4 linked regions of the Schizosaccharomyces pombe genome follow. The protein of the gene in region 4 interacts with the protein of the main gene of each other region in a pairwise test. Each region holds a gene or a part of one and is shown on either strand. Other genes may lie near its edges. The genes, in order: pgk1, SPOM_SPCC1827.05C, cbc1 and nse1.

What was found.
Region 1: the proteins of nse1 (region 4) and pgk1 interact in a two-hybrid assay, tested with the Schizosaccharomyces pombe proteins (one study listed by BioGRID).
Region 2: the proteins of nse1 (region 4) and SPOM_SPCC1827.05C interact in a two-hybrid assay, tested with the Schizosaccharomyces pombe proteins (one study listed by BioGRID).
Region 3: the proteins of nse1 (region 4) and cbc1 interact in a two-hybrid assay, tested with the Schizosaccharomyces pombe proteins (one study listed by BioGRID).

The regions. Positions count from the first base shown.
Region 1 is NC_003423.3:4,155,493-4,163,518, forward strand, and holds pgk1 (phosphoglycerate kinase Pgk1), read right to left. Parts: upstream 3,970-8,026; 5' UTR 3,925-3,969; coding exon 2,680-3,924; 3' UTR 2,329-2,679; downstream 1-2,328. Other genes in the region: karyopherin/importin beta family nuclear import signal receptor Kap123, read right to left, coding at 1-1,102; sam1 (S-adenosylmethionine synthetase), read right to left, coding at 7,036-8,026. UniProt on the Schizosaccharomyces pombe protein: Catalyzes one of the two ATP producing reactions in the glycolytic pathway via the reversible conversion of 1,3-diphosphoglycerate to 3-phosphoglycerate.
Region 2 is NC_003421.2:2,381,919-2,389,110, forward strand, and holds SPOM_SPCC1827.05C (RNA-binding protein NIFK), read right to left. Parts: upstream 3,764-7,192; 5' UTR 3,742-3,763; coding exon 3,705-3,741; exon of another isoform or gene 3,650-3,704; coding exon 3,264-3,649; exon of another isoform or gene 3,187-3,263; coding exon 2,779-3,186; 3' UTR 2,721-2,778; downstream 1-2,720. Other genes in the region: protein Vms1, read left to right, coding at 814-2,616; hom2 (aspartate semialdehyde dehydrogenase), read right to left, coding at 4,232-5,268, 5,573-5,609; spx2 (SPX/EXS domain-containing protein), read right to left, coding at 6,709-6,867, 6,943-7,192.
Region 3 is NC_003424.3:3,225,041-3,234,003, reverse strand, and holds cbc1 (nuclear cap-binding complex large subunit), read right to left. Parts: upstream 5,495-8,963; 5' UTR 5,472-5,494; coding exon 5,221-5,471; exon of another isoform or gene 5,172-5,220; coding exon 3,080-5,171; 3' UTR 2,606-3,079; downstream 1-2,605. Other genes in the region: glucosidase I Gls1, read right to left, coding at 1-46, 97-334; isocitrate dehydrogenase Idp1, read right to left, coding at 1,149-2,468; tda3 (FAD-dependent amino acid oxidase), read right to left, coding at 5,812-6,548, 6,621-6,962, 7,024-7,075; TRAPP complex subunit Trs120, read left to right, coding at 7,761-7,926, 7,968-8,963. UniProt on the Schizosaccharomyces pombe protein: Component of the CBC complex, which binds cotranscriptionally to the 5'-cap of pre-mRNAs and is involved in maturation, export and degradation of nuclear mRNAs.
Region 4 is NC_003421.2:1,191,455-1,199,823, forward strand, and holds nse1 (Smc5-6 complex ubiquitin-protein ligase E3 subunit Nse1), read left to right. Parts: upstream 1-2,532; 5' UTR 2,533-2,742; coding exon 2,743-3,321; intron 3,322-3,369; coding exon 3,370-3,489; 3' UTR 3,490-3,963; coding exon of another isoform or gene 3,964-4,278; 3' UTR 4,279-4,569; downstream 4,570-8,369. Other genes in the region: gpi2 (pig-C family GPI synthesis protein), read right to left, coding at 483-540, 597-766, 813-960, 1,019-1,617; protein Hsp10, read right to left, coding at 3,964-4,278; fah2 (fatty-acid amide hydrolase), read left to right, coding at 6,736-8,337.

The sequences.
Region 1 (8,026 bases), on a different chromosome or scaffold from region 4:
CGCCAATTGATAGCAAAGCAGCTTTACGATAGCTAGCCTGTGGAGATTGCGAGAATGCACAAGCAGCTTCAAACATAGGGTAAAAAACCTGTGAAGGCGACAAATGTGTAGATAGAAGATCAATGGAACGTAAGGCAAGACGAGCAGGACAATCTTCATCTATGTCATCAGTAGTTTCTTCCGTAGCAACTTCCATAAGCGTAAGGACTAGAGGCTTACCAAGTTTAAGAGCTTGCAGCTTACGTGACTTGAAACGTATGCACGAAATTATAAAAGAAAGGGCCATACAGCGAATTTCATCATCGACCTGCTTGGAATTTGCAATGCCAGTAATAATTTCAATAATATTACCAAGTGCTTTGGAAATAATGGCACCAGAAGCAATAAGAAAAGTGTTAAAAACATCAAAAACTTGCTTGCTGGCATCCACATCACCGACCTGAACGACATCTTGAAGAACCAAAAGCATGCCAGGCAAGGTAGCACGATAAGCGTGCAAAAGCTTTTTATCATCAGACTCCAAAACCTCTGCAATTGCACCAAGACCTTGAACAGAAGTAACACGAACTGTTCGACTAGAGTCAGTAATTGTTTGGGAGAATAAGTTGACAAAATCCAAAAGGAGCTTATTATCTAAATCTACCGTTTCAGCAATTGAGTAGAGAACATAAACAGCCATTTCACGAATAGAATCGTTTTGATCCATAGTGGCTTGGACCAGGAAAGCCGATAATTCATTCCATTTTCCTTCAGGTAAATCAAGCTTAGCCAAGGCAGCAATCACACGACCAAAAGCATGACGGACGATACTTTCAGGTTCCTTCAAGGTAATATCTAACAAATTACTACGGATCTGATTTTGGACATCCGCGTCAACGGATGACCAATATTTATGACAAAGCTTACGTGCCTCGATGGCAGCTAACTGACGAACTTGGGGATTTTCACAAGTTCCCATAATATGGAAAAGAGAAAGTAGTGAGCCAGGTTCCTTCAAATACTTTGTTTCCAAGGCGCGAGTGGCCTCAGTAATTTGAGTGGTATCAGGAGCGATGCTTTGAAAAAGCAGCTGAGTAAGTTCAAGTGTGAATTGAGCGTCCATTATATATATTTGAAGTTTAAATTTTTGTTGTATTTTTTGGAAGAAATATTTATGACAGAAAGAAATCAATCAAACAAAAATATTCCGATTTTGAAAACGGGTAAAGTGAGTTCCCCCAAAAGCAGCTTTCCCTATTAACAAAGAAAAGCTGAATAATAGTAAAGAAATAAGAACTTGCAGATAAATGAATTAACCAGCAAGTGTAAAAATAAGTTAAAAAAAAATAATATATTGAAATATTACTTCTCTGGAAATTTGTTCAGTTGAAATAACAATCAAAAGCTTTTCAGGATTAAGAGAATAAGTTAGTCACGGTACAACGAAGGCTATTTAAAAATGCTTTTTCGATTTTTTTTTTTCCTTTCCCTTTTCTCTATTACAAATATATATCAAATTTGTACGTTTCCTTTTCTAGCTTTTACAAACTTAAATTATTGTAAAAACAACAAATCAGTAATTACTCCAAAAAAAAAACCAAGAAGATGAGTAATTATTGATGCTGCCTCTTCAAAGAACAGCAAATCTGGTTTGTTTTAGAAGAAATTTTTGTTGTCTCGTTAGGAGGAATGGTTGCTGTATCAAAAAACTAAGGCACAACGCAAAAGATTTTTTAAAATTCTATACATTGCACTATCATATGCTACACTAAAATTCACTATATTTAATCGTTCTTTAAGATTCGCTTAGATGAACTGTGCCGAAAACATCCCATGAAAAAACTGATTTTACTTACATTAGTTTATCGATTGGAGATGCATAACATAAACGATATGGACTTGCTACCAAAAATTCGTAGTTTCGTTGTGTTTCTATAGTTTACAGGTTCAAGCTTGAATCTAGTGATATATATTTAGTATATGTCACTGTGCTACTCATTGTAGATCGCAAGCAAAAAATCCACGGCAGTGGAAGGTGTCGCTAAAAAGCAATAACAACTGTGTAGCTGACATTATTAACCGCATTAAAAGTAAAACCTGTTTCGACAAATTATAATTTAAAGCAGCTTTAACCGATGGATAGAGCAACGCGTAACAGCGTAAAACGATGGATTAAAAACCTCAACAAAATACAGTAATTCACTTAATAACGCATATAAAAAACAAACACTGAAACACAATAACGTAGATTTATAGAAACTGACTACTATCCACACAATTATAGCGCTCATACAAACATTCATTAACTACACCAAATACTAGTAGGACGCTTCAAAACAACAAGAAAAGTTTTTAATCATGAAAAATACGAGATATTCTATTTCTTTATTATAACATAAACATTTGTATTGTAAAAATAGGAAAGGAATGAGAATAATATCCAATCCATTCAAAAACATGCATTTCATCACCAAATCAATCAAAACAAGCTGACCTGTAACTTGAGAAAAACAAGCCGAATCGTCTAAAAATGTCTTTCTAGTGAGCAGGTCAAAAAAACAGACACGCTGTTCAGTCAACCTAACCCATTTTCTTAAAGACAACGCCAACAAATTCACGAATGTTAGAGAACTCTAACAGTAATTAAATCCATTATAGAATAGAGTCAGATGAGAAAGGCATTGAGAAGGAAGTGGCATCTTACTTGGAAGAAAGAGCAACGACACCGGGAAGAGCCTTACCCTCCAAGAGTTCAAGAGAAGCACCACCACCGGTAGAGACGTGGGAAAGAGCATCCTCCTTACCGTACTTCTTGGCAACAGTAGCAGTGTCACCACCACCAACAATAACAACGTTACCAGCTTCACAGGTCTTGACACAAGCATCAAGCATAGACTTGGTACCCTTGGCAAAGTTGTCAAACTCAAAGACACCAGCGGGACCATTCCAGACAATGGTCTTGGAGGTGGTGATAACCTCGGCAAACTTAGCAGAGGACTTGGGTCCACAGTCCAAACCCATCCATCCGTCGGGGATACCCTCCTCGGCGGTGGCAGAGCCAACCTTGGCGTCCTTGTCGAACTTGTCGGCAGTGACGAAGTCAACGGGGAGGAAGACCTCGACGTTGTTCTTCTTGGCCTTGGCCATCATGGATTCGACGTTCTTGGAACCAGCCTCATCGAAAAGAGAGTCACCAATCTTCATACCGTTAAGGACCTTCAAGAAGGTGAAAGCCATACCACCGCAGATGATAAGGCGGTTGACCTTGTCAAGAAGGTTGTCAATAAGTTGGATCTTGTCAGCAACCTTGGCACCACCCAAGATGGCAAGGAAGGGACGAGCGGGGTTCTCCAAAGCCTTGGAGAAGTAGTCGAGCTCCTTCTTCATAAGGAAACCGGAGACACGGGGGAGATCGACACCGACCATAGAGGAGTGAGCACGGTGAGCGGTACCGAAAGCATCGTTGACAAAGATGTCACCGAGAGAAGTCAAAGACTTACGGAAAGCCTCGACGGCAGAAGCGTCAGCCTTAACCTTCTTACCGTCAACCTTGGCGGAACCCTCCTCCTCGATGTGGAAACGCAAGTTCTCCAAAAGGATGACCTCACCACCCTTGGCTTCCTTGCAGGCCTTTTCGACCTCAGGGCCAACACAGTCGTCAAGGAACTTGACGGGCTTGCCCAAAAGCTTGCTGAGCTCAGCAGCAACAGGCTTCAAGGAGTACTTGGCAACACGAGCACCGTTGGGACGGCCCAAGTGAGACATCAAGATGACAGCCTTGGGTTGTTGCTCAAGAGCGTACTTGATGGTGGGGAGAGCACCAACGATACGGGCATTGTTGGTGATACGGTCACCGTCCAAAGGGACGTTGAAGTCGACACGGATCAAGACGTTCTTGCCCTTCAAGTCGACGTCGGTGATAGCGAGCTTAGTAGACAAAGACATGGTTATGTGATTGATTGATTCTGGATTGAGACGGATTTGTCTTTACAGAAGGCTTTAGCGCTAGCACCTTGGCCTCATATTTATACCCCAATTAATCGGGGAGGGTGAGGCATTTAGAAAGTCGATGGAATGCCGTGGATCATATGTATGTTTCTAGAGAAACATACCGACCATGGTGTGTTGACGGACGACGACGAAATCGGAAGAGTCGTCAGGTGACATGAGACGCCGATCAAGTAGCGTTTCCGCCAGAAGCGGCTGTCAGGAGCATTTCACTGTGACGTAACTTTATATACATTTTGAAACAAGTTGCATTTAGCGTTACCTTTGTAATCGTTTATTGACGAATCGGAAAAATGTATCCATCATTTGGGGAATCGGAAAAACCTAGTTAAAAAGGTAGTGAGGCGTATGCTACCTACATTCTGACCATAGTGCGCCTGCGATAGCATACGGTAAATGTAATTTTTCGGAAAAACCTGCTATCTACTATCGCTTCGTAACAGAGGGTCGGAAAGGAAAACGGGATTGGACAACGACATGCATCCACGACGTTTGCCGAATATTTTCGTCATTGAGCCTTTGAAAAATAGAGTCGCCATAAGCGAGAAGTTTAAAGCTTGTAAACGTATCTTTAACAAATTGCGCGACTAAATTCGTAAAACATAAGTAAGGAGTGATAATGCGAACGTGGGTTGGTTGGGAGTTCGCTGCTCCTTTTCCACCTAGTGCTGTTTTGTTTGCCTCTATAACGAATGTGAAGGTTGCAAAGCTAAGGTTTGCATCGGCACTGTTATCGATACGACGAGAAGTGTTGCAGAGAAGGATGCAGCTAGCTGGAGTACATTCAATAGCAGCTTAAATTAATTTTTGTAACGTTAATTAAATTAGCGATTTTTGCTCGTCAAGTAGATTCAAAAAATTTTTAAAAGTCAATTCAACATTTGCAACAGACATCAAGCAATAGCTGAATAGCAAATACTGAGAGATTTTGCTCGTAAATTGTTAAGTGCAGTATTGGAAAGTGTAGGATCAATATCTGCTAGTTTCAGATGAAATTCTAATTTACTATCATGCTTCATTCCTAAAGTGTCTTTTAATGTAGCAAAAACATTTTACTGGATTTACGTTTTGGACAAACGTTTTTTTTTGATAACAGCTTCTTTTCACAGCATGAAGACACACTTTTCGACATCAACAATACAACATACTCTGTGTATTCATTTCGTGCGTATCACTATATGTCCCATGTTTTATTTACTCTACCAACTTAACGTGATAAGTTTTCATGCTAGAGATTTTATTATATAATATGATAAGATAACTAGCTGTTACAATACTAGCAATTCATAGTGTAAACTGAGATGAACTGAATCTCGTTCTCCACTTTAGCTAAGGCTTTTTCAGTAAAGATAAAGCATACATTTCAAATATTAGAATACCTTTTATTCAGTTGCTACTGTGTTATTTACATATTGCAATATATAGATCACAAGGAAAACTTACCGTAGGTTCATGTATTGTTATAATATATACTGGTTAGCTACGCAGTTTGATATCTGTTTTAACGATATATAGAACTGCGGTGAGTTTTTACTTGCGATCTACAATGTAGCGGTATGCGGTATGTTAACTAACAATGTATATTTATTGTTATAAGAAGTCTGTTAGTATCGGTCACCGATATAGCTCATAACTGAATTGAGGAACGAGGTTCAGTTGTAGCTCTATTTATAATCTTTCTAATAGTTGTTATCAACGGATATCTATGATCTGATGTTGAACATGTGACATATAGTGATACGCAACGTAGTATGTCATATCGTAGTGCAGTATTGCTGACAATACCATATTATGTGGTTGACTTCTAAAGTAGTTTAGCAGATTGAAGTAAATATTCCAAATGTTGTATTATGGTACACCGTATTTCTTTCTGCATGTTGACAATGCTTCCTAATTCATCTGATAATTTTCCTATACAATATCTGATGTAGACATCGAATTTTGCTTGACGATACCCATGACAAAGACAAGAGCCTTCTTTCATAAACTTCTTAATTATTTGATTTGAGAGTTCAAAGTCTGCTCTAGCATTGCTTAATCAACGAGTAGCAACATCTATAGAATTTGAGATTCACAATTCAGTACTCAAAATATGCTCCAAAAGAGAAGGTAAAAACCAAACAGCAATAATAAAGAAGGAACCTACAAAACCCCGGATTCCCATGTTGTCTCCAACCATAGTACTAACGAGGCCCTCAGACGCTTAACTGCAGTGATCGGACGGGAACTGGTGTTTTCGCCTAGGTATGGCCGTAGACATCTAGTGAAGAATTTTTGAATATTTATACTACAAAAAAAAAGACCAATATAATTCTAAGTACTTTTAGGATCGCTGAGAATCCATCGCTTATTCCATAAATACAATAATGTAAGCAAGCAATGTGTTTTAATCCAATGACATTTACTATCACAGATCATCTTGAAAGCTGAATGATTGTCTACCTTTTTAAGTTTGACATTTTCAATTCATTACAAATTACAATAAAATCAAAACGCTTGTATTGTGTGTGCATGCACCTTGTTACAAGTGAGCGAGCTAAATTAGCTACAGTGAAGATGAGTACTCGTTCTTATACGATTAAAACACTATGTCTTGAACCAAATCCATTAACATATAATTAACTCAATTTAAACGAAAGTGGCCAACTAGTTGAAAGTCAGCAAATAATAACTATCGTGAAAAGCATCAAATAACACTAAGCCTATCGGTAAAAGAAACATTAACATGTCGGTATGCAAAAAAATTTTTGGCTTAGTGTATTTTCCGCTTCGAGATGCAGTCATAAACACAAAGGTTGAATTTGTGCCTACCCAGTCCAAAAAAAAATACATATCCGTTGAACCAGGACTTAACATATAAAACCATATATCTTTCACAATTGAAGAACAAAGAAGCAAACATAGAATAAATAAAGACAACTCTAAAATCTTTTCATCTTTAAAGAAAACCATGTATCCATAAAGCCATCAACTGAGAATTCGTTACATGTTCTAATCGTATTTAACGTAACAAACGAGAAAAGCTAATGATAGCACTAAGCTATCTGTCTAAAACTTAAGCTCCTTAGGTTGTTCCCAAGGCTTGGATTGATCAGTGAAGTGACCGTAAGAAGCGGTGGAAAGATAGAAAGGAGTTTGAAGCTTAAGGCTTTTGACCAAAACACCAGGACGAAGGTCAAAGTTCTTGCGGATAATTTCAACAAGCTCAGCAGATGTCTTGGAAGAAGTGCCGTAAGTATTGACAAAAATAGAAAGGGGCTCAGCAACACCAATAGCATAGGAGAGTTGGACAAGGCAGCGGCGAGCCAAACCAGCAGCAACCAAAGATTTGGCAATCCAACGAGCAGCATAGGCGGCAGAACGATCGACCTTGGAGTAGTCTTTACCAGAGAAGGCACCACCACCGTGAGCACCCCAGCCACCATAGGTATCAACAATAATCTTACGACCAGTGAGACCAGCATCACCTTGAGGACCACCAACAACGAAACGACCAGAAGGTTGGATGTGGTAAACAGTCTTCTCATCTAACAAATGAGCAGGGACAGTAGGCTTAATGATCTTCTCCAAAATTTCAGAACGCAAGTCTTCAGTAGAGATGCTATCAGCGTGTTGAGCAGAGACGACGATGGTATCTACACGACGGGGGATGACAGCACCGTTTTCCTCTTCATATTCAATAGTGACTTGAGTCTTGGTATCAGGACGCAACCATGGAAGAGATCCATCACGACGAGCGACAGACATGGCAGCATTGAGTTTGTGAGCAAGGAGAATGGTCAAAGGTAACTTCTCGGGGGTCTCATCAGTTGCATAGCCAAACATAATACCCTGGTCACCAGCACCGAGCTCTTCCAAAGCCTTCTCATAGTGAAGACCTTGAGCGATATCAGGAGATTGTTGCTCGATGGCGACGAGGACGTTGCAAGTCTTGTAATCGAAACCCTTCTCAGAGTCATCATAACCGATGCTCTTAATGGTATTACGAATAACCTTTTGGTAGTCAATTTGTGAGCGAGTAGTAATTTCACCAAAAACC
Region 2 (7,192 bases), 1.2 Mb from region 4:
AAAAAATTTATTATATATACATACGTAAAATTCTTTCCTCAATTTGATGTCTTAAATTTGGTGGTTTGCTTGAAGGCATATTATTCTCAAGATAATAAAATTTTTTTTTTTTTTTTTTTTTTTTTTTTTACAAAAATAATATTAAACAATCATGCTCAGTCAAATTTCAAGTGACGAATTAATTTTTGGTATTTATTTTTTAATACGAAAAGGAATATATACAAATTGCGACTGCATCTAATATAGTTTTGAATTAGCTAAAGCAGTAGCATAATTTTTGCACTATTAATTTAAATAAATATTATTACAATCACCAACATTATACAAATGTTATTTTCGATTTTATATTTACATTCAATTTAAAATTCATAGATTTTTCACTGTTAACGACAGCTTTTTCTCAAATATTAAATTTTGGACTATATTAGTTAAATAATAAACGCAAGTATATACCACTAAGTAAAAAAATTACATAAATTTGATTTTTGATTGACTGTTTGCTCTTACCTAATTAATCCTCTTACCTATATTGTCTACAGCCTTATTTTTTTTTAATTCATTTTTGTGGCCAAAAGGCTTTAAAGTCTTAATTTACATGAAAATAACCTTTTTCTTCTTTTAATTTCAAGAAAAAATTGTAAATTAAAAGCAAACTACCTGCATCTTGTGGTCAAATTACTTAATCCTTATTAAAGTTCGTTTTTGAGTATAAGTACGCTAATTGCTAGATTGAAATTCTACTGAAAATTATTGCATATTTTGTAATGCTTACATTATTTTTAGATCTTGCTAATTACTTGTCTTCTTCGAAACATGGGTGATATTTCGAAGCACAATATTTTTTCCCTTCCTGAGGATATCTTAGCAAAACTAGAACTACGAGAGGAATACTCAGTTGAGGAAAAAACTGATAGTGCTAATTTGTCAAACCAAGGCGATATTGTTGATTCCACTCAGAAAAATATATCATCATGTGTCAATTGCCAGATTGACAATCTGCATACTCTGGACGAAAGAAAAAGTCATATTAAATCTGACTGGCATAGGTTCAATACGAAGCGAAAAATTACAAAATTGCCTCCGGTTTCTCAAGACGAATTTGAAAGCATAATTGAAGATTTACCAGAATCACTGTCTGGCAGTGAAAGCGAGACAAACTCAGAATCCGAAGAAGATAATTTCCAAATAGAGAAGGCTTTTAAACAATCCTTGAACATAGGAAAAGTTGACTCCGCTGACGAAAACAACAATCAGCGAACAAACTCACCATTAACGTGGTTTCAATTGAGTAATGCTTCTGCCGAAGTGCCAACCTATATTGGTGTATATAAACACATGTTTTCCGGTAATAACCATATCACTAAAGATTTACTTGTTCAACAACAAAATCATAACCGACAAAAGCCACTTCAACTAGCTATGTTTATGGTTGGAGGCGGTCATTTTGCTGCTATGATTGCTTCTAATGAGTTTAATCCTCGTGATCCCCATGTACCCAAAGTACTAGCACAGAAAACTATTCACAGATATACAACTAGAAGGAAGCAAGGTGGTTCTCAAGGGGCTGCTGACAATACTAAAGGGAACATTCACTCGGCAGGTAGTGGTTTGCGACGTTATAACGAACAAGCTCTTATTAAAGATATTCAGCAAGTTTTTAAAGACTGGGGAAAATTATTAGAAACATGCGATTTAATCTTTGTACGTGCAATCGGTTCATCTAATCGTTCAATTTTCTTCTCTCAACCAGGTGCTCTTATTTCTCCAAAAGATCCAAAACTCCGCGTATTTCCATTTACTACTAAACGAGCCACACATTCAGAATTACTTCGTTGTTACAAAGAGTTGGTTACTCCGAAAATTAGTCACGTTGATTCAATTTCGATAAAAGCTCAAGAAGAAGAACGAAAGAGACAAGCCGAAATTGAAAAGGAAATTAGACAAAGCAGATTACAAGAGGAAGAGAGGAAAAAGAAAAAGCTTGCTAAATATACCGAAGTAATTATCTCCAATTTGAAAGCGTCTAATATTGAAGCATTTTTGGAATATTTGCGCTCTAATGATTTGTCTATAAATTTTCAATTTTATCCTAAAAATGTTCATTTGCACACATCTACACCGTTGCATTACGCAGTTACCCAAAAAAATGCTAAATTAGTCGCTAAACTTCTCCGTAATGGTGCTGATCCAGCAATGCTAAATGGGAACGGAAAGACACCTTTTGAGATTAGTACTGGAAACAAAGAGGTTAAAGATGAGTTTCTAATTGCAAGGCATGAGTTGGGAGAGTCATTTTTCGACTGGGAAGCAGCTAAAGTTGGGGCTCCTCAGTCTAGAGAACAAATTCAGAAACAACGCCAAAAGGCAAAGACCAAATTAGAAAATCAAAGAAGGGATAAAGAGAGGCAAGAAGAACTTAGACGGAAGGAAGCGATGCAGAAAATTGAAGAACAATCGAAAAGGGATTATGATAAACTGCACGGCGAAGGTCATTCATTAGGAATTAATAATGTTCGAAAAGTTGACGAATTGCAATCATTAAGTCCAGAAATGAGAATGCGAATTGAACGTGAAAAAAGGGCTGCAGCTGCCATGAAAAGAATGCAAACAAAATGAGAAGCATAGTTATTTTAAATTAAAAAATACTTTACTAGAAAAAGACAACAAAAGGAATATTGTAAAAATATTAATCTTAGTATACGTTATTCACAATTCTATTATGCATAATAATAAGATATTCCAAATATTATTGTTATTACTCTAAAACCCCGTATTTATTTATTTGTGAGCAGCCAAAACCTTTTTGTTCTTCTTTTTGCTAGATTTTTTCGAAGCAACTGGACTAGCCGCCTTGGGATGAGATACATCCGATTCCAAAGTAATCCCCAATTCTTTGAGCTTGCGCTTTTTGAGTTTAAGCTTCCGATTATGGCGAGTAATTAACTTATCCGCTTTCTCCTTGCTTAATGGTTTTTCATGCTGAAGACGCGCTATTGTGGCATGAGGGATGCGTTTAAAAGGAACGTCGGCGCCTTTAAACATGTTTTCATGAACCTGGTCTTCAGGAATAACCTTACATTGTAAAAGCTTTCCATATAAAAGATAATTATGCATTGTCTCAGCAACGACATTGGCAACGTCTAACGATTCAAACTCGATGAAAGCATAATGCTTACTACTTCCTGTCTAATGCAAAAAGTTAGCAGTCGAAAATAAAAAGAAGAACTAAAATAGTCCGCTGTAGATAATAAATGTTACCATACCTTTCTATTGCGAGACATGCGAAGACGTAGCACAGGACCAAATTGAGAAAAATACATACGCATCTGTTTCTCATAAAATCCATGAGGAAGTCGGCCAACATACAAAACACCTTTTTTCTTTTGAAGATTCTTATTTTCAGAAACCTTTTTCTTTATGGTTTTCTCAGCATCTTCGCCCAAATCCATAATTTGCCTTGAGGTATTAACTAGCGCATTTGGAGAGTCTTCTTCATCATCATCTGAAGAACCGAAACCAGGAAAAAACTCTTTATCTTGTCCTTCTTCATCAGAGTTATCTACATGACCTTGTAATGATATATGCTCGGCTTTTTCAGCATCTTTGACTTTCTTCTCACGAAGAACCGATTTCGGTTGATTCACCGATTCTAAAATCAATTGAGTTAAAAACCATACAATAGTGATATTATTCCTATCACTTACTTTTCGAAGACTTTATAGGGCTCTTTGCCTTCGACATAATGTTTTATAAAAGTATAGGTATTGAACTGAATTTTTCCAGTGTCAAAAACGGCCAGATGCCTAAATTACAAGTTGTTATACATTTCCTTAAGCTAGACATGGTAGAATTTGAATTTGCGTTAAATATTCAAAAAATTTTTTAATCTACGCTAAATTTTTACAAATTGGTGTTAAAATTCGTTATTCATTTAAAATGGGAAAAAGTAGAAAATGACTTACTTCAAATATTAGAATTATCGATAGTATTATTCAATTACAAGGAATACAAATCTTTTGAAGGCTTCCGTTTTGGTTCGCAAGCACAAGAAACTTGATTAATAGAGGCAGTCCTCTAATTATATCACTGGCAAGGTAAAATAACAGCAAAAATGAAATATATTAACAAAGTTTTTCTTTATTCAAAACCTAATTCCAACTTTTAAGGTATCGAAAAATCCGTGGCAAATTTTGAGAGAGAAGAGTTATAACAAGAACAGGAAATTCGTTGTTTACATAAGTCCCTTCTTCACCGCAACTTCAGCATTCAAAATACCAGCACCAGCAGCACCCAAAACTGTGTTATGGACGAGGGAGACAAATTTAATATCAAAGATGGAATCAGATCTGATACGACCAACTGATACTGCATAACCATTTTCATTGTTACGATCGAGTCTAGGTTGAGGGCGGTCAGGAGTAGAATCATCGAAAACATAAATGGCTTGTTTAGGGGCACTGTAGCAGCCTAACTTTTGAGGTTCAGAAACATAGTTTGCCAATACTTCGCGAACTTGATCAGGAGTAGGAGAGGTCTTGGCAAACTTCACAGAAATACACATCAAATGGCCATCAATAACAGGAACACGATTGCACTGAGCAGAAACAACGTTATCAGTCAACTCATATCCAGAAATTGTGCTATTGACAGAGCCCAAGATTTTACGTGTCTCCCATTCAATTTTTTCTTCTTCACCGCCAATAAATGGAACGATGTTATCCAAAATGTCAAGACTGGAAACACCAGGGTATCCAGCACCAGAAATAGCTTGCATACTAACTACATTTGTTTGAGCGATAGGACCAAAAGCATCTTGTAGAGCTTTCAAAGGTACTACAACAGCAGCAGTAGAACAGTTAGAGTTAGTGATAATGCATCCACGATCCAGTTTGTTTTCTTGACGCTGGTACTTGATAACGTCCAAATGATCTGTGTTGACGGTGGGGACAACAAGTGGCACGGTAGGCTCACGACGATAGTTTTTAGCATTCGAAACGATGACTAAATTAGCATCACGAAAACTTTTTTCAATTTCGCCAGCAAAGTCAGCATCTAAGCCGCTAAACACAATATCGCATTCCGAAAACTCCTTGGGATCACAAGCCTTTACACTCATTTGGGAAATCTCTTTAGGCATTGCAATAGATTGTTTCCATTTAGTAGCAACTGCATATGGTTTTCCCGCAGAACGAGCAGAAGCGCCAAGAACAGCGATCTTAAACTCAGGATGATCGGAAAGGAGGGTAATGAAACGCTGTCCAACGGTGCCTATTTATGGTTAGTCATGTGTATCCAAAAACACTAGTCAGTGACACGGAACTGAAAATTTAATGTTCATCAAAAACTTATAGTACTAAAGACATGGAATTAAAATGATAAAATGTGAGTCTTTCCAGGCAATTTAATTCAAAAAGTGTACAATTAAAATGTAGACCAATTAAACAAGGAACCTAAAAAGTAAACACAAATTATTTTGTAACAGTCAATCCTTTAACTTTATGCATTTTTTAATGTACATAGAGCAATCGTTTGCAGTTTTGACAGAACATTACCATTCTAAATTTAAACATACCTGTTGCACCGAGGATTCCAACTTTTTTTATAGCCATTGTTTTTAATCAAGAAAACGAAGGTTACGTGTTCTTGGTAAATTCCTTCATTGACAAGCAATTTAAAAAAAAATATCTTATATCGTATCGCATCAGATCTTTTCTAATCGAGATAGTGAAGTCTAAAGTATTTCCGCGTACCGTAAAATAGTGAATTCTTTAAACAAATTGCCAAAACAAGCAGCATCCGTTTTGTACCAAAGTAAGGCAGATGAAGTAAACAATTAGTTGTAAAATACAAGTTCTAAAATAAGCTTTCTTTTATCTAATCTATAAGAGTAATGTAAAGGAACAGTTAATCTGGGACTTGATCAGATGTAGTCATTTTACGTCCATTATAACTTGGAAGTAAATTTAGTAGTGTCAAGCAAATATAGAAAGGATGGATGTAGTCTCATTGATTCTTTTGCAATTTAGATTTAGTACTGAGAATGATGAAAGACAATTTAATAAACAATGGATAATACTTTTATATGACCGGTCTTTTCTGTTTTGATAATGAAAAATTAGCTCGTAAGTATACTTGGCTATTATTATTGCAACAATTTTTTTACGAGTAGCTATGAGATGTATTTGAGATTAGTTAAAGGACTTTAAGTATTCCGGTCATTGGTTGATACATCAAGACATTAATGATCAATCCGATTCTCTGTCTCCAGACACGCATTGAATCAATCTATTTCACCGCACATTCTGTTCCTGACTGAGTAAATTAACTGACTTCTTTGATCATCGCTTAAAATTTACAGCACACTTAAAAGGATTCATTCATTTTGTGAAAGATAAATATCATTATTATAATTTTACTCATTAAATCATTAAGCTTCATTCATCACATTTGTTCGTAAACACTAAAGTCCCCCTTCTCATATCCATATGTCATAATAAAATTAAAATGAGGTTCGTAGAAACTTCTGAGAAATATCTTCGCATTTGTCAGAAGAAAACAGCGATACCATACTCCAAATGAGGAATACTTTTAATGCATAAAAACACAATAAAACAGCATTAATATCATCGGAGCAAACACCCAATACCGATAAGAATAATAAAAAAAATACAACTAAAGAAAAAAATAACTTGTACTTTCACGTTCTATCTAAGAAAACTGAGCTTCATCCACATCTGTTTGATCATCCATCGAATCTTCATCATCTGTATAATTCTTATCAGAAGATATTTGATGAGAAACGAAGACATCACTATGTGGCTTAACAAAATCCAAAGGCTTAAGTTCTCTAGCGGCCCGCAAATTTTCCTATAATGAAATTAGTATGCGACGATTTGAATCAAATAAAAATAAATAAAAGTAAACACAAACCAGCGAACTTACCCTATTATAGATTTCTTCGTGCTCCACACGAAGGATGTTCCACATACAACGCCGCATGATCTCAGCAAGGGTCACAAAAAAACTAATCCCTGAAGAGTGCTGAATGTGGTTGGGAAATATGCAATAGAATATAAAAGAGCTTCTAACGATAAAATTTAAGATCATAGCTATAATATACGGCCACAACTGTTTTAGAATTCGATGCTCACGGAATTGCCAACGACCATCCTTTCGAACCAAAAGGTTCCAA
Region 3 (8,963 bases), on a different chromosome or scaffold from region 4:
CCAAAGGCACCAATATCATCTCCATGTTCGGCACTGTGTCTCATTTCTAAATAATGTTAATACCTATATGTATGTCCAGCTGCAAACGCGACATACTTGAGAATCTAGCATAGTCATCAACATTGGACCACATAAGTCCTGTCATTAACGAATCAGGAATCTTAGGACGAATTCCAACATATAAATTTGGCCTATACGGACCCCATAAAAACGAATCATTCGCTGCTTTCTCAATGTCTTCAACACTACACGAGACAAGTACGCAGTTCAATAGAAACGATAAGAGTCCAAATAAAATCCATCTCTTATTTCCGCCAAGCATGTCTGACACCATCGTTTGTGCTAGCAAAAGACTGATGATGGCCAGTGTTTTGTTTTGGTTAGTGTGTATTGCATGGCTAGCATGCTTCCTCTGGCATCCAACACATTATAGTGTCTTAACTAGCATTATGAATGCTACGTTAAGTTTTTTCCAAACGCTCACAGCCACACTGCAGCGCGTAAGATTTGGCTGCGTAAAACATTTGGAGCTAAGAACAAAGGCTTACTTTATTTATCAGTTTAACAGAAATTACAAGTAATTAAGTAGTAGCAGTTTTTAAAATGATATTTGTTACAACTTCATTGTATTCGAACATAATAGAAAGCATTTCCATAGTGATATACATTTAATGTAGTTGGGGTTTACGTCCATCAATTGTTTAGTTTATTAGCTCAGTTGTTGAATTTTAATATTAGACCTTTACCTAAATTGTTATGGCTCAATCAATTGCTAGATAAATATGTTTAAGTGGGTTTGAAGCAAAGCTTTAAAGAATCAAGATACATTTGTAGTCAATAAACGGCAAGAAATCCGAAAGATTTCAATGAATAAATGAATAATCATTCAGCTTTTTCCTTTACGTTTAAGGGGAAAAAATTGAAAAAAATTAGATAATAGTGTCATGGTCTGAATATGCATAAAAAATTTACAAAATTTCATGATTAATAGAAATGACTTCCTACACTCCACTGTTAATTGTAAAATAATATAAATGCACACACTTCAAAATAATTGTTTTAACAAAAAGTATCCTAGTAAAAACATGATTGAATAATCCAGAACTTAAACTTCAAAGACTCACTAATCAACAGGTCTAACACTAAAATTAGGCAATGTTGACCAATTCCGAATCGAGCTCGGACTTGACGGCATCCAAAAACTCGAATGTATCAACATAACCATTGGGAGACTTGCTGAGAAGGTAAAGATCCTTTGTCATAATACCCTTCTCAACGCATCGAACACAAGCATGCTCGAGGGCGTTGGCAAACTTAACTAAACGTTCGTTGCCATCTAAACGACCACGATGGGCAAGACCACGAGTCCAGGCAAAGATAGAGGCAATACTGTTGGTTGAAGTCTTCTTACCTTTCAAGTATTGCATGTAGTGACGCTGTACAGTACCATGAGCAGCCTCACTCTCAAAAGTGCGACCGTTGGGATGAATGAGGACAGAAGTCATTAGGCCTAAGGATCCATAAGCTTGGGCAACCACATCCGACATAACATCACCATCGTAATTTTTGCATGCCCAAACAAAACCACCATTGGACTTAATAGCTTGGGCTACCATGTCATCAATTAGACGATGTTGATACCATAAACCTAGTTCCTCAAACTTTTGCTTGTAATCAGATTCATATACTTCTTGGAATGTATCCTTAAATCTACCATCATATTTTTTCAAAATTGTATTCTTAGTGGAAAGATAAAGTGGCATTTTCTTTTGCAAAGCCATTTGGAAAGAACTGTGAGCAAATCCACGAATAGAGTCGTCAGTGTTGTACATAGACATAGCTACACCACTACCGTTGAACTCGTAAACATTGTATGTTTCTTTAGCAGAAGGATTACCTTTAGGGGTGAATGAAAGTTCCAACTTACCGGGGCCTGAAGCTACCAAGTCCGTTGACTTGTATTGATCTCCAAAGGCATGACGCCCGATACAAATAGGGTTCGTCCATCCAGGAATATACTTGGGAATGTTTTTGATTAAAATGGGCTCCCGAAATACTGTACCATTCAAAATGTTACGAATGGTACCATTGGGAGACTTCCACATCTTCTTGAGGTTATACTCTTTCACACGAGCCTCATCAGGAGTAATGGTGGCACATTTGATACCGACATCATTTTTGAGGATAGCTTTGGCTGCATCCACAGTAATTTGGTCGTTTGTCTTATCGCGAGCTTCGATTCCAAGGTCATAATAATCCAATTTAATGTCCATATATGGGAGAACCAACTTTTCACGAATGATCTTCCAAATCACTCTCGTCATCTCATCACCATCCATTTCAACGACTGGGTTTTTAACAGTGATCTTTTGAAAAGATTTGCTTGAAGCCATACGCATATTCATGAAACCACGGCCTGCGGCAGCCAACTTGAAAGGTGCCTTTACGGCAGCACGTACTTCCAACATATTGTGTCAGTTTTTTTATCCTTTAAAGTAAATGAAATATTCGACGAAGCTAAGTTGAGAAGGAGTAGCTGTGCAAATGTCCCTTAAATCCTAGTTCTATCCACCAAACTGCCTCTGTTCCTCACTACTTCTTACAATAGCACAAAGTGGTTGGTTAAGTGTAAGTTACTGATGGCAGTAGTGATTTTGTTACATTTTAGCAATCCTTTCGTTAAACTGAGAAAAGATTTAGTCACTTCTGATATCGGAGATGTGAGTGAACATTTCGCTTATCCATTCGCTCACATAGTATGACACTACGCAAAACTAGAACCGACAAGTCGATCGTAAAATATCTTATCTTTAGATATCCGTTACCTCTGATAGATCTGATAACCCTGTTACCTATAAAATTGAAATCTTCGTTTCTAGTAACTTAACTGTGAAGTGCAGCAGCGTCCTACAAGTGCTTATGAAAATGGGACGTTATAATTAAATATTTAATATAAGCTATATCCACGTTCAAACGTTGTAGCAGATTGACAACGTCGTGATTACCAGTCGAGTTCTTCAGTTTAATCTTTTTGATATCAAAACAACACTTTCTTCATTTTTGTTATAGACTACTTTCTTTATTTTTCCTCATTAGTTGCATCAGCTGCTGTTTGATTATTTTCTGATGGCTGCTCATCTACTGCGTCGACGGGTTGCATTTTTGTGTCTTCCTGTTCCTCACTGGTATTTTCTTGAACAGGCTCGTTTGCTTCTTCTATCGTGTCCTTTTTAACAGAGAGGAAATTTGATTCCACATATTTTAACATAAGGTTAAGCCAATGAGATACCCATATATTTTCAGCATTTTCGGAAATAAGGGCGCGCAAAGCTGACAATAGTAAATTCGTGACAATTTCCTTTTCCTCATTCGCTTCATTGATTAGCGAAGAGTCTTCTTTGTTAGAAACCGAACGCCGCAATCTAGCTGCTAATTTATTAAAAGTGGTGTTAACAAGTGACCACGTATAACTACGAGACCATATAGTCACGTCTTGCTTGATCAACCACTCAATAATAGAGGTAATACTAATTATAGAGTAGTTCAGCATTTTATCTAGCCACATAACTGCGTTGAACGGTTGTAATTTCCAAAATGAAAAAAGTTCATCAACAACCTCTATTTCGGAATCTAATGATTTTCGAGAAAAATGTTTCAATGTATTAAGATGTTTCTCGAACACGTTCAATGCGTGCGAAAACGATCTCGAACCCAAGCTATAAGCACAAGACATAACTAATCGGACAGCAGATGTCTCGGAGTTTTGAATCTCCTCGCTCTGCAAAATAATGTCAAGTTCTTCTAACGGTTTATGTAATCTCAATGCTTCGATAATTTGACTTGACTGTTGATATAGCGGATGAGTCTCATTTTCGTACACGAAATTGGGACCCGACGGTTGTTCGCCAAGCAAACAACGTAACTCTTCAGGGAGTGAGTCAGAAATTCTTGTGTAATAGCTTAAAATAAGTTCCCTAGTAATAGTTTCCCGCATAAAAACTTTTTTTGGATGAAGATCGTCCAGCTCAACGTCAGGAATCCACTCATTCCACTTCCAGTGAAAGTTGAAATTACTAAGGTGATGTGAAAACCAGTCAATAAATCGATCAAGTGTTTGTAAAGGTAAATCAGAAGACATGGTATACATTAGCCGAATGACCCTTCCAAAAGTTGGAGCCAAAATTTTAGGAGCGATACGGCAGCATTCAATCAAAAGCGAATGATAATAGACAGGTTTATACGTAGTATTCTGTGAACCAAGAAGCTCACCCAAAACAGCTTCAACTATGATATCTTCTGCTTTCCAACGTGATTCCGATGGATCTAAATTTGGTAATTCATTTACTGGAGTACCACGAAGAGCAAAAGTTTTGTAGGTAAAATAAACATCTAAATCTGTAAGAACTTGAGCAGCCTCAACTCGGTTAAATTCCAAATGGTTTATAACATCCACACTTATATCACGAAATATGCTGGCTGCAACGTCGGAAGCGTCAGGAGTCGTGCGAATTTCAAAGTTATTAAAAAGCTCAAAAAATCTCTTGAAGGAAGGTAGCTCATTTTGCTGAGGAGTGGGCTGAAACGTCCATTCAGGAATACTTGGGCTAACCGGAACAATATGAACGAAATCAGATTCAAAAAACTTCCAGGGTTGAGATATATAAGGAAAAGTAAAGTCGTTTTCCCGAGATAGAATTAGTTGTTTATAGAGTAAGTCCAATTCCTCCTCTGAAAGATTGTCATGTATTGAAAGGGGATTACTTAGAGTTATCGAAGATTTCCTATGACGAACGTAAATCTCACATTGATCCAGTATCTCATTAGCAAAATCCTTTTTACCGAGATCGTTGTTAGCTGCGATGAAATATGGAAGGTTTATCAAAATTATGCGCAGGAAATTATCTCCCCAGACACTGGGTTTGGTTTCTTTTGAGATAGCGTCAGCCAGTAATGAAAATAGTGGCTTAAGGGTACCTGGTTGAAGTGCAAATGACATGCAAATGAGCATTCGTAGATCGACTTTAGCCTCGTAATAAAGAAAGGAGTTTAAATTCGTAAAATACTGTAAACAAAAATACGCAGCTGCTTTTTCTAAGATTAAAGGAACCCTTAATGAGGCTCTTATAATTAATGTAGCCAAATGAGGTATTTTGACTGGAATGATAAATGCACTAAGGATTAAATTAGTTTTCTGAAGGGACAGTATAAATTATCACTTACGTTGTCTGAATGCAATCTAAGATAGTTGAAATGGTTTCAGGATCATTAGCTTCACGACTAAGAGACATAGCAACATAATTAATGTCATCAGCAGCTACTGAATTTCCTCGAGGATCCGCCAAAAAGGTAATATCCTTTTTTATACGCGCTGCAAGTAGCTCTTGAGAGTTTCCTCTATGGGGACGAAATCCATAATTCTCTCCCTCTCTCGTCCTCTTTCTGGGTCGAGTTGATCCCCGATAAGAAGACATTTTGTGAGGAATGTTAGTGTCTTACTGTTGTTGGCGTATAGCAGAATTGTAAAAACACGAGCAAGTGTTCTCAAGTAACAATCAACTTAGAGGTAACGAATGGTATACTAAGTCGAGATGGAAATTGTAAAACAAAAAAAAAGAAAATCGATTTTCCAATGCGATAAAAACGAAAACCTTAATAAATATGATTAGAAAATTTTACAACACTGTAATATTCTATTTCGGTAAAGGAATAAGCATCCATTCTGCTTCTATATTTTCACCTTTCAGTGAATGAGTCCTTCGTTTTTTTTGACAAACAATTAAAACAAAAATTAGAGGATATAATTTGAAATCCTCATTCACCGAGATTTAAGTGAAAAGGATCTGTGTTTATGCTTGTTTTTTCCTTGCCAAGGAGCATTTCTGCCATACATAAACCCGTGGCAGGAGCTTGAGTTATCCCCCAGTTGGCGTGACCCGCTGCAACAAATACACCAGACTTGGTTGTTGATATTATCGGGATACCTGTTATTCTACTGGTAGGAAGGAACTTAAAAGATGCGTCTAAGTAGTTACTCTTCGTATTCTCCGAGAGCACCAAATCGGTCATTTCTTTCAATTCGATAATTTCAAAAGGATTAAAAAAACATCGATTACTATCTTTTGGCAGCAAATGGAATTTTGGAGTTCCCATAAAAATAAGCTGCTCCCGGTTTTTACTGAAAATTTCGGTTGTTTTGCAAATGTTTAGATTACCCATGGTATTTAAACAACACACAACAATGCTGTCGCCAACGGGAAAATTTCCTACCGATAGGTGAATTATGGGAATGCATAGACCTGCAATACCAGTAAATGGTAATAGATAACCAGTCCAAGGCCCAGCACTCACCAGCGTTTTATGCACCTGTGCTTTTATTATTGTATCTTCAGCTTCTTGTTTTGGAACGTATGTAATATGGTGTTTACTAACCTCTTTCACACTTCCAAATATAAACTTTACTCCTCGTTTTTCTATTTCTTTTGCCATAAATTGACAAAACAATTTTGGATTGATCATTGCAAAATCGTTGCCGGAACCGATACTAGAACCTAAATGGTTAGTCTCTATATGACTTATACAATAAAGTTATTATTTTTTTTTGGTAGCACTTATGAGCTTACATTTTTGCATGCGCTCTCGTTGAAGCCATTGCAAAGTATCGGGAACTTTGGCAACATTGGTATTGTCCCATTTCATCTTACAAAACCAAGAATTGGCAGTCCTATATTCCCAGTTTTTCTTCCCATCAAATTTTTTATCCAATCCTTCATAAAGCTTCAAAGCGAGAGTTGAAAGTGGCTGTATGATTTCATTCTGGCACAGTTTTGTCAAGATTGCAGAATCAATGCCGGAGCTACCTCCTGCTATTTCTTTTGATTCAAATATAAATATGTCCAATTCTCCTTTTTTGTATTCTTGTTCTTCTGTTAAGTAAAACGCCGTACAAATTCCAATAATGCCACCTAAAAATCATCGTCAGCATGCTCACTCATCATTTATGAAACTGTTGTTCTCCAAAATTACCTCCTACTATTCCTATCTTTGTCTTATTTCCTTCTCTACTTGTAGCGCTCATATTTGAAGTTGGAAAGTTGACTTGAAACACAATCATCTTGCTGTAACGCTTCTAAACATTACGTTATCCTCACCAGTATTTCCTTCAATCTCTCTTATTTTTTTACCATTTTGAGAATAAAATAAATAGCAATAATAATAATAACAAAACGGTTCAATATTCAACAGTTTTTGCCATTCAGAATGCCTTTCATAAATTGCTATGGCGAGATATACGATTCTTTCATGAATACCAAACGATTGTAAAAAAGGAAAAAAATTACAAAATACTCCTCCTAATCTATAAAGTCAAGTTCGCATAAACAAACGGATTTTTAAATTTTTGAAATGCCAGATTCACATTCTTCAGATAGTTTACATATTATTTACACATGCCTTAATTAAAATTACTGCAACCAGTTCATTGAGTTGTAATTATATTTTGATTCCAAATAATCTACTGAAAACAGCTGTACAGCTGTATATGCAGAATGGTATTTCCAAAGCATAACAAATATTAGACATTTCACAACAATGATAATTGTTAAGCGATATCATCTTGAAAAGTTTATTTTACCGACTTATGATCGACAATCAACAGAAATATGCAAAATAAATTAGTGATGGTATGGATGTAATCCGTTAAATGGTATTCAAGCACTTTGTTCTCAGTACGTGCTCCAAAACATTACATTGCTGGAGATGCTATGGAATTTGATTTTTTTTCGTTTGTTGCTCCTTCCAGAGTTCAATCATTAGTCCTTCCTTTTGGTCGTGTTAGAAGAAAAAGTTTCTCGTCCTACCTACAATTACTCCGCAGAGTAAGTCATATTCAGTTGAGTGATGTCCCTGTAGCTACTGCTACTAGAAAATGTATGTTTCTTATTTTTATGATTATTGACTAATCTTAATAGCGAGTTCTTTCAATCCTTTGGCTTTTCCGTTGGGCAGATTGGTGTACAATTTCCTAACCAGCCTTGATGATCAACAAGCTCTACTAGAAGAATTTGAATATTTTCGGCGCGTTTTCGTTCTTATTGGTATTGTAGATGGGTCAGAGGAACAAGAAGTTGAGCAATTATGTTCTACCTTGGATGTTTGGCGGAGAAGGATACCTCATGCGTTAGTTGCAAAATGCATCGTATTTAATTGTCCAGAAGACAAAGAGAATATATTTAATGCTCCCAATATCATAATAGGACCAAGGTCTGATTTTTCAATAAACTCCGTAATGCGGTCTATTTTATGCGATATCACTGCTGAGTTGTTAGAAGGATTTAGTTCGCTCGAGTTTTCTATACACGCGCGTTCCGTGATCCTTTCTCCAATTACTGACATGCCACATTTGGCTCCCTTGCAAAGGAAAAATTCTAATGCGTCGATTCACTCCTTAGGCTCATCTTCTCGTCCTACTTTGACGAGAACTCCCTCGATCACATCAAGATCTGTGAATAGTGTAACGGAACGATCCAAAAGTCTCTCAAAGGGGCGTATTGAGAACCAATTTGGCCAGCTATACTTGCTGGCCGGCAGAGTTCCCAATGCGTTGAAGCATTTCTCAACAGCCATAGCGCTTTCTAAAGCAACTGGAGACTTTCTTTGGCAAGGACTTTCGTTGGAGTTATTTACTGTTTGTCTGGTTATAATGGCTCATTTGCATGTGGACGTCCAGATTCCTCCTAATATATTATCCATGTTCCCTTCTTATAATGATAGATTGAATGCCTTTGGACCACTCAAATTTGATGCACTATTAAACTTTATCACAGAAATGCGCAACGTAGTTGATCAATTATATCAAAAATCCACTCTTCAACCTAATGATGCTGTCCCCGGCCTCTGTTTTTCCGAGAGTATCCTACGGTATGCTCATTTACTCACAGTTGTTTATAGTTGTAAAGGATTTAACG
Region 4 (8,369 bases):
CAATAGTAGACTGATTATCAAGTGATATATAGTTATTTTCGACGAGCTATGCTTTATTATTCGTTTGTAATGCTTTCGTTGATATATATGAGTCGTATACGACTTATTATGATTTACTTTCAAAAAACCTGAATCTGCGTAGTTGTAAAAGAAAAAGGTTGGATTATTACATATAATTAGAGATTTGTGTAAAAATGCATAGCATTTTATTGTACTATGGTTAAAACATATTATTCGTTACCAACTTTGAAATTGAATTGTAGTATACTTTTAGTTGGTGGTGGAATAAAACTACAGAGGAAAGAGCGACATAAATTTCCATTTAATTAAAATCATTCAACTCTAAAGAGAGGGAAATCAAGTTTGGATACAAGACATGTCATGCCATCATGAAGGATTAGACTGAAAGACGGCCAGTCGTAAAAAAAATAATATATTTTTTCGCAAAACGTAGTCAATTAAAAGCAAGCTCGCGAATTAGGCTAGCCCTTACTTGGACCTAGCTTTGGTAATGCAATATCCCAGGGACCGTGAATTTCACTAAGATATATATGTGAGAATTTAGAAAGAAATAATAAAATAAAATAATTACATACTTTTTAAATCTTTGAAGCTTAATAAACCAAATGGGACATATAAACGAAATGAAAAATATTAATGAAAGAAAGACAAACGCAATAACAACAGATGCAACAGCATTCAAAGCAATATATGCACTTATGATCAATACGAGGGTCATAAGCATGTCAGCGTAAAAAGAGAAAACCTGTAATTGGTTAAATAAAAGAAAAGGCCAATAAATTGCTTCTTACATGAATGTATTTGCGAAAAATGGGGAATAGTGCAAACCAATGAACGGCAAAAAGAATAAAAAAAAATACATTAATTGACTTTTCCAGTCGTGAAGCTAGAACAACAGATGCACTCAGCGCCGCATTTGTTGATAAAGAATTGTGTAGCCTAAAAAGAAAAATAATTAGAAATGGAATTAATTACGATGAAGTTTCCAAAGACGTACCTGACATGAGGTCTGATAGTTTCCGTCGTATATTCATGAAAAAATACGTTCGCAAGGAAAAGCCAAACAGCAATAGCCCAAACTGAGTCAGGAGAGGTAGATTTTGTTAATGACATTAGAATTGGCGATAGACCAGCAAGCGTAAGAACAATTAATATACAAGATTTAACGATCCCCATGTAATTAGGAAAAGTTCTATTGTTACAAGGCTTTCTCAACACAAAATCCCACAAAATGAATGCCGCGACCGCAGAAACATTTGACACGAAACCAACAAGCGCACAAGATAACTGGTTCCTATAGATCGAAACGAAAACCGAGGCAAATATAACTACGCTTGATAGATGCTGGGAGACAGGTAAACTATCGGCCACTAAAGACCAAAAGTCAGTGACTTGAATGTTAACATTTCGTTGTAAGCCATTCAAAAAAGATTCATCAATGAAGTTATCTGGGTAATCTTGTTTCCTCCATAAAACCTTTTTCCAAGGTTTCTTTAGTTCAACAACTTCTTTTACAGAGGCTTTCCTGAACGTGTTCAAGACGAGTGATTTCGCGACCATCTTTTTGGGCGCTGGAGCAGCACATACTTCATCCATTCAGTTTTAAAGTAATTTATAAATCAACTAAATAACTACATTCGTCCTAAACTCTCATACAAATTAAGCTGAATTTGCTTCCAATACCGTATTTTCAACAGTTCTTAGAGTAGTTGGATTTGGTTAACATCGACTGACTATAATATAAGTTGACTAGTACTGTATGTTTGGGTCCGCAAACAAATAAACCACACTTTCCTAATTTAATTCATATATATCTACTTTAAAAAGTACATTCAGCATCGTTAAGAGTTTTTATTCCCAAGAAAATGATTTAACTGCATGACTCTGAATATAGGGTTGTTCATGAAATCTGCAATCGCGCATACTCGCAATTGGACTTTAATCTATCAATTGACAATTCAAGTGATAAAATTTACGACTGAACTCTTATAAACCCGAATTCAAGCATTCTAGTAAGCTAATAAGTCAACATTAATTATAAACAATTATTCTAAATTCAACGAAAAGTAAACTTTCACGAACAGGGTTTACATTTTACGAAAAATATGTGTATTCTTTCTAACTTTCCCTTATTCAAAAACTGCAAAAGGTTATCTCTTAGTTTCCTATTCTTGATGTACGTTTAACTCGTAGTGTTATAAAATACTTGAAAGCTAAATGTGCGTGGTACAATAAGATGATCAGTAGAAAAATATGCTGTTTTTTTTTTTTTAAAATAAATATAATAAATGTTCTTGTTCCATTGCTTGCATCTGTATGTTTTCTAACCATGTTTATGTGCGTAAACAATAGAAAGAAAAGGATAAAGAAAGAAATTTCACAAAAATATATAGCATAAATTTTTTTTAAAAAAAAGAAAGGAATATCTGCTGCTTTTCACAAATTGTTCTAGCTGCGCGTATTTAATGGTAATCAAATTTTGTTTCACACTGAATACTGATTTCATCTACTACCAACATATACCATTACACTGTATGTTTCATGATTGTCAATATATGAACGGACTATTTTAAGACAAAAAATCGAAACGACCATAAAAATTTGATAAAAAATTGAAAGGAAGCTAGGCGTTTTGTGCGTGTTTGTTTAAATTTGCATTGGTCAATTAACGCGTCAATTAGTAATCAAAATAGTAGAAATACAAAAAAAGGAATAAACGGTATGGAGAAAGAGAGACAAGATGGATTATCTGACAAGCATAAATTCATTCTTCAATATATAATGTGTCGCACAGCTGGTGTTGATAATGAACAAGTTCGTGAACTTGTTCAAGAGCAGTATGGAGAAACGGCAACTGTAGAAGATGTAATAAATGAATTGAACAATTCTTTGCACAATTTCGATTTTAAGATAAAACGAGTACAGGATCAACTGGATGGAAGATTAACGCTGCACTTTCAGAATTTATCTGGAGACCCAGTATCCCAAATGGCTACTCCTTACCCTCCTGTTCAGATAGAACTTATGAGAAAGATAATCGAATGGATCATGAAGTGTGATGATTACCAATATTCATTAACGACTCTGCAAATCCAAAAATTATCGAGAAAAGAAATGGGATTGGCACCTAGTGTTATTGAGTCTCACTTACATACGTTTGAACGTGATGGATGGCTAAGACAGAGAGAGGGTATTTGGACATTTACGAATCATGCGTTAGCTGAATTGGATGCTTATTTACACAACGAATACGAGAGCAATTTATACGAATGCAACGCTTGTCGCGAAATTGTAATTGCTGTAAGATACATATCACAAATGCAAACTTACTAACTGAATACCTTATAGGGATATGTATGTGATTGTGGCTACTGCTTGCATGTTTACTGTTGCAAGCATTTAGCTCATGTTAATTGTATAAATTGTAACACGCCATGGGCAAATGCGACCGTTATAGGACGCTGGTAATTTTTTCACTACCTACTGGTGTTCGCTTTACTTGTTTATACATTTGGGCTACTTGGGAAAGGATATAGAAAACTTATAAAATTAACAGTTTTTAATGTTGGAAAAAAGGGTTCGTAATTAAACTATGTGGAGAACACTCGCATTTTAAACTGAAATCGTTAAAATTCAGGTGAAGGGTTAGACTCATAAAACACGAACTCAAAATCTTCTTTACAAAAAAATAAAAGAGAAATGACATCGATCATCAAACGCATAATCACTGTCATTTTCTTTAAAAATGTCCGCATTTACATCACATTTAAATCTGAGTGCAATCGTCCTTAAAATTAGAGCTGTTAAAAAAGCCATCTTGTACCAGTTTATCGTAATTTGCTGCAAGAACAATAACAAAAGATGTTTTTGCGTCCAACAGCTTTTTTTTTAGTATGCTTAATAGGCAGTGGCTGACGAAGAAAAAATTACCCATTAATTAATTTATTCCTTGATGATAGCCAACAACTCGTGATCACGGTACAACGAATACTCCTCTTCGCCCACCTTGATGTTGCTTCCACCATAAGCAGGCAGCAAGACACGATCACCAACGGCTACGCTGGGTTGAGCCAGTTTACCTTCCTTGTTATAACCGCCCTTTCCGACGGAAATAACACGACCTTCGGATAACTTTTCAACGCTCTTCTCAGGTAGAAAGATACCAGAAGCGGTTTTGGTGTCGGCCTTGATACGTTGAACCAGAATACGATCCAAAAGAGGCACGATTGACTTGGCGGATTTCAGTTTGGTAGCCATGTGAAAGAATGCAAAATGATTTTAAAAAAAAGCCTAACAAATACAAAAACTGTGGTTAATGCCAATATATTTCCGTCAAAACTTGTTCGTTTTGGGCAAGTGCTCAGTAGCTTCAGTTGAAGCTGTGATCCTCCTTATTAATCTTTTGCAGATCATCTGGAAAGTTCTACCAAAAGTTTATTTTGCGTTAATACTCAAGGTTCCGGTAAAACACAATGCGAGATTCGGCTCCAATATGCTATATTTTAATAATGTTAACTACGCAGTTTGGTATCTGTTTTAACGACACGCAGAACTGCGGTGAGTTTTCCTTGTGATTTAATATATAGTGTAGTATAGCTGACATTGCCCTCCCCAAGATTTTCTATGTAAATCTGAGGATAAGTCATATGTTCTCAAATATTTAGATTATTGTTTTTAATATAATCATTGACAATTGCTTTGTCCGCTTGTAGCGCTGTAGCTAATGTAGTCCATCCTGACATAATAGTACTCGGATTTAGATTCGAAATGTACTTAACGTTTAAATAGAGTACTTGTTCTCTATTTTTATGTTCTAGGATATGGAGAATTGTTCCTATGTCGGATTCATCAATGGTAGCGTAATTGAGTTCTGAATTATGTCGATACTTTTCTAGGTGAGAAACATGAAAAGTAGATGGAAACATGTGCTTGATTGAATCTGGAAGATCCAATTCATAGTTGTTTGGGCCCGACTTCTGTTACACATAGAACGGTCCTGCAAAACTGACACGTATCATACATGTGATGCAAATCACAGTAAGTGTAGTTATGTCGTGAATTACTAACATTTACTTTACAATTAAAAGATAGAGTATATAAAAATGGTATTGCTGTCAAATAATTTAGTTGGAAAGCCTTCATTCAAGTTGGATATTTGTCGATAACGATGGTTTCCGTACCACCGTAAGAAATTTCTGGTTTTCTACGCACTGAACGCAGTTAAGGTAATTTTTGCTCAAAAAAGTAAACTGATGCAAAAATGGTTGAGATTTTGTGGAGGTTAAGCGACAATTTGATTATCGCATACTTAAAAAGGTGAAGGTCGAAAATTGAAGAATTCGAAATAAAGCTATCAGTTATTGACATACTCTAATTCCCCCGTATTGATGATACTGGTTCAAGGAGAAAAGTCTAGCTGAAATATGCTAATCTAAAACTCATGTGATTTGGCTTCATAAAGCATCATCATTAAGATAACTAAGTCATAGTTTGCTACGCCATAACACATCAACGAGCATGTCTCAATGAAAGGGTGTACAGTCAAGGTGATTGTGATAAAATACCAGAAGCAATCAAAGTGCGTCTTTGGTGTTTTGAATGAGAGAAGTTAGTTTTCAAAGAACTGAAATTACATTTATTTATTTAATTTTTGAAAAAGTGGAATTTTCTGTTTTTGAGAGTTACGACGGAAAGCATAGAAAGAGTACTCTTTTTTTTATATTTGTTTATATCAACAAAATCTGATTGAATTTTCATATTGAAATGTGTTATCATTTCTTTGAATGTGCTTTTCACAACCAGAGTCAGCCGGTCAATCTTGCAACTTTGTATTAACTATACTGATAAAAATTAGTTTACCATGATTAAATTTCGATTCTTCATTCTAAACATACACGCTGCTTCATCTTTATCGTCGCATGCTGTGTTTGCGCATTTGTTATTGATAAAACCCTGTCTGCAATCATGACTCAAGGTCCCTTTAGTCTACTATTTGTAAAGAAACCCCCGGAATCACTCATTTGCATTTTACAACATTTTTTGGTTTCCGTTTTTAGTTAGATACGGACAACCTGTTCGCTTCTTACAGCACAGTTCATTGGACTTCTTCTAATTGCAAATTCATACCATCTTCAACCGAAAAGTAGAAAGACTTTTCTAGTTTCCTCCGATTATTTACCCTTACTCGCCGATAATTCTACATTTTCTTTATCATTTTGCTGGATAGCATCTCAAATACCGAAGCTCCGTTTACTCCTTTGAAGTAACTTGTTTGCTTAATCTGACCACGTTGTACAGTAGATAAAATGCGACAAGGGTTGTGGAGTATCTAGCGATCGGGTAAAATATATAGGCGGGCAAAGGTTCTGGATAACTAAGTTCATTGAAAAGTTGGCCGTTATCCATAATACGTTTGGTACTTGATTATCATTTGAATGGCAAAGATGCGTCAAGCTTATAGATACTGAGTATGAGAAAAGCACTATTTAAAGAGATAGGTTCCTAACCCGTAGGAAGTATATCTGAAATTGTGCTTTGTTAATTCAACAATTTTTGATATTGGTTTGACTTTTGTCAGTATTCCTTGGCCTCTTTGACTAAAATCCATTGCTTGCAACGTTGCATGTGCTATTGGTTTATATATACTTCATCATCCATACATTCAACTGAGCATTTTAATTTACTTTCATTCAATCCAACAGTTTCCTATTCACAATGACGATCGATTGGAGACAAATTGCTGCCAAATACTGTGCCCATCGAGATGGTAGTATTCCTGAACCTTTCAAAATTAAAACACTACCTAAGGATACCGTTTTGAATGTTACCAAAATTCCAAGTGAGTGTGGTCTCCTTACACCGAAGGAGATCGAACTCACTGAAAAATATGATGCGACAGCATTGGCCGAAATGATTAAGGATAGAAAAGTCACGAGTGTGGAGTTAGTCACTGCATTTTGTAAGCGTGCAGCCATTGCTCAACAACTTGTCAATTGTGTGAATGAACTCTTCTACGAGGAAGCTTTAGCTAGGGCCGCTGAGCTTGACGAGTACTATGCAAAGACGGGATCTTTGGTCGGCCCCCTTCATGGAGTGCCAGTTTCGGTGAAAGAGCATATTTCTATCAAAAATCACACTGCTACAGCTAGTTTTCTAGCGAAAGCCAACATTATTGCTGAGAAAGATAGTGATCTAGTTGCCACCGTTCGCAAAGCTGGTGCTGTTTTCTATTGCAGAACCCCCCAGCCTCAAGCTATCATGCATTTGGAAACATCTAGTAACCTTACGGGTGTAACCGTCAACCCTTTCAATCGAAAGCTCACACCAGGTGGTTCCTCTGGCGGAGAAGGTGCTTTGTTAGGCATTAAGGCGTCGGTGCTTGGCATAGGTAGTGATATTGGAGGGTCGATTAGGTCTCCTGCCGCTAACAATGGGCTTTTTGGCCTTCGCCCTAGTACCTTGAGATTATCACGCAAGGGTTGCCAAGGCGCTGTTAGTGGTCAAGAGACCATTCTCGGCGTAGTGGGTCCACTTGGTCGCAGCGTTCGTGACATGAATCTCTTTATGAAAGCTTGTATCGATAGCCAACCTTGGCTTGATGATGCATCGTTGTTACCAATGCCCTGGCGTTCAGTTGCCCCTCCTAAAACGCTCAAAGTTGGTATAATGCGTAGTGACAATGTTGTGAATCCTCAACCGCCTGTTGCTCGAGCCATGCAAATGGCTATTGATCAACTTTCTAAAAATCCCGATTTTGATTTAGTAGATGTAGAACCTTTGGATCACAAATATTCATGGGATCTTATTAGCGAAATGTACTGGCTTGATGGCGGAAAGGTTTATTACGATTTGTTTAACAAGGTGGGAGAACCAATTTTGCCTTTAACTGAATGGATTATGCATCAACCCAATGTTAAACCTCATGACATTACGGCCGTATGGAAATTGACTGCTGCTAGAGATGAATATCGCAATCGTTATTTGAAGCACCTTCAAGCATATGGAGTTGACGTTTTACTGACTCCAGTGGGACCTAGCCCTGCTCCTAAATTAGGGGAGGCAAAATATTGGACATACACATCTGTTTGGAACTTGCTTGATTTGCCTGCCGTAGTATTTCCTGTGACCACTGTTGATCCTAAGCTCGATGTTAAAGATGAGTCATACATACCGATGAATGAACAAGACGCAGCAAATTATGAAACATATTCCCCTGAAGACTATTTGGATGCTCCCGTAAGTTTGCAACTTGTTGGCAAACGTTGGCAAGATGAAGAATTACTGGCTGCCCTTGATAAAATTGTCAGCATGCTCTAGTAGGGTTATTGGCTTTTATATTTTTTGGAGTT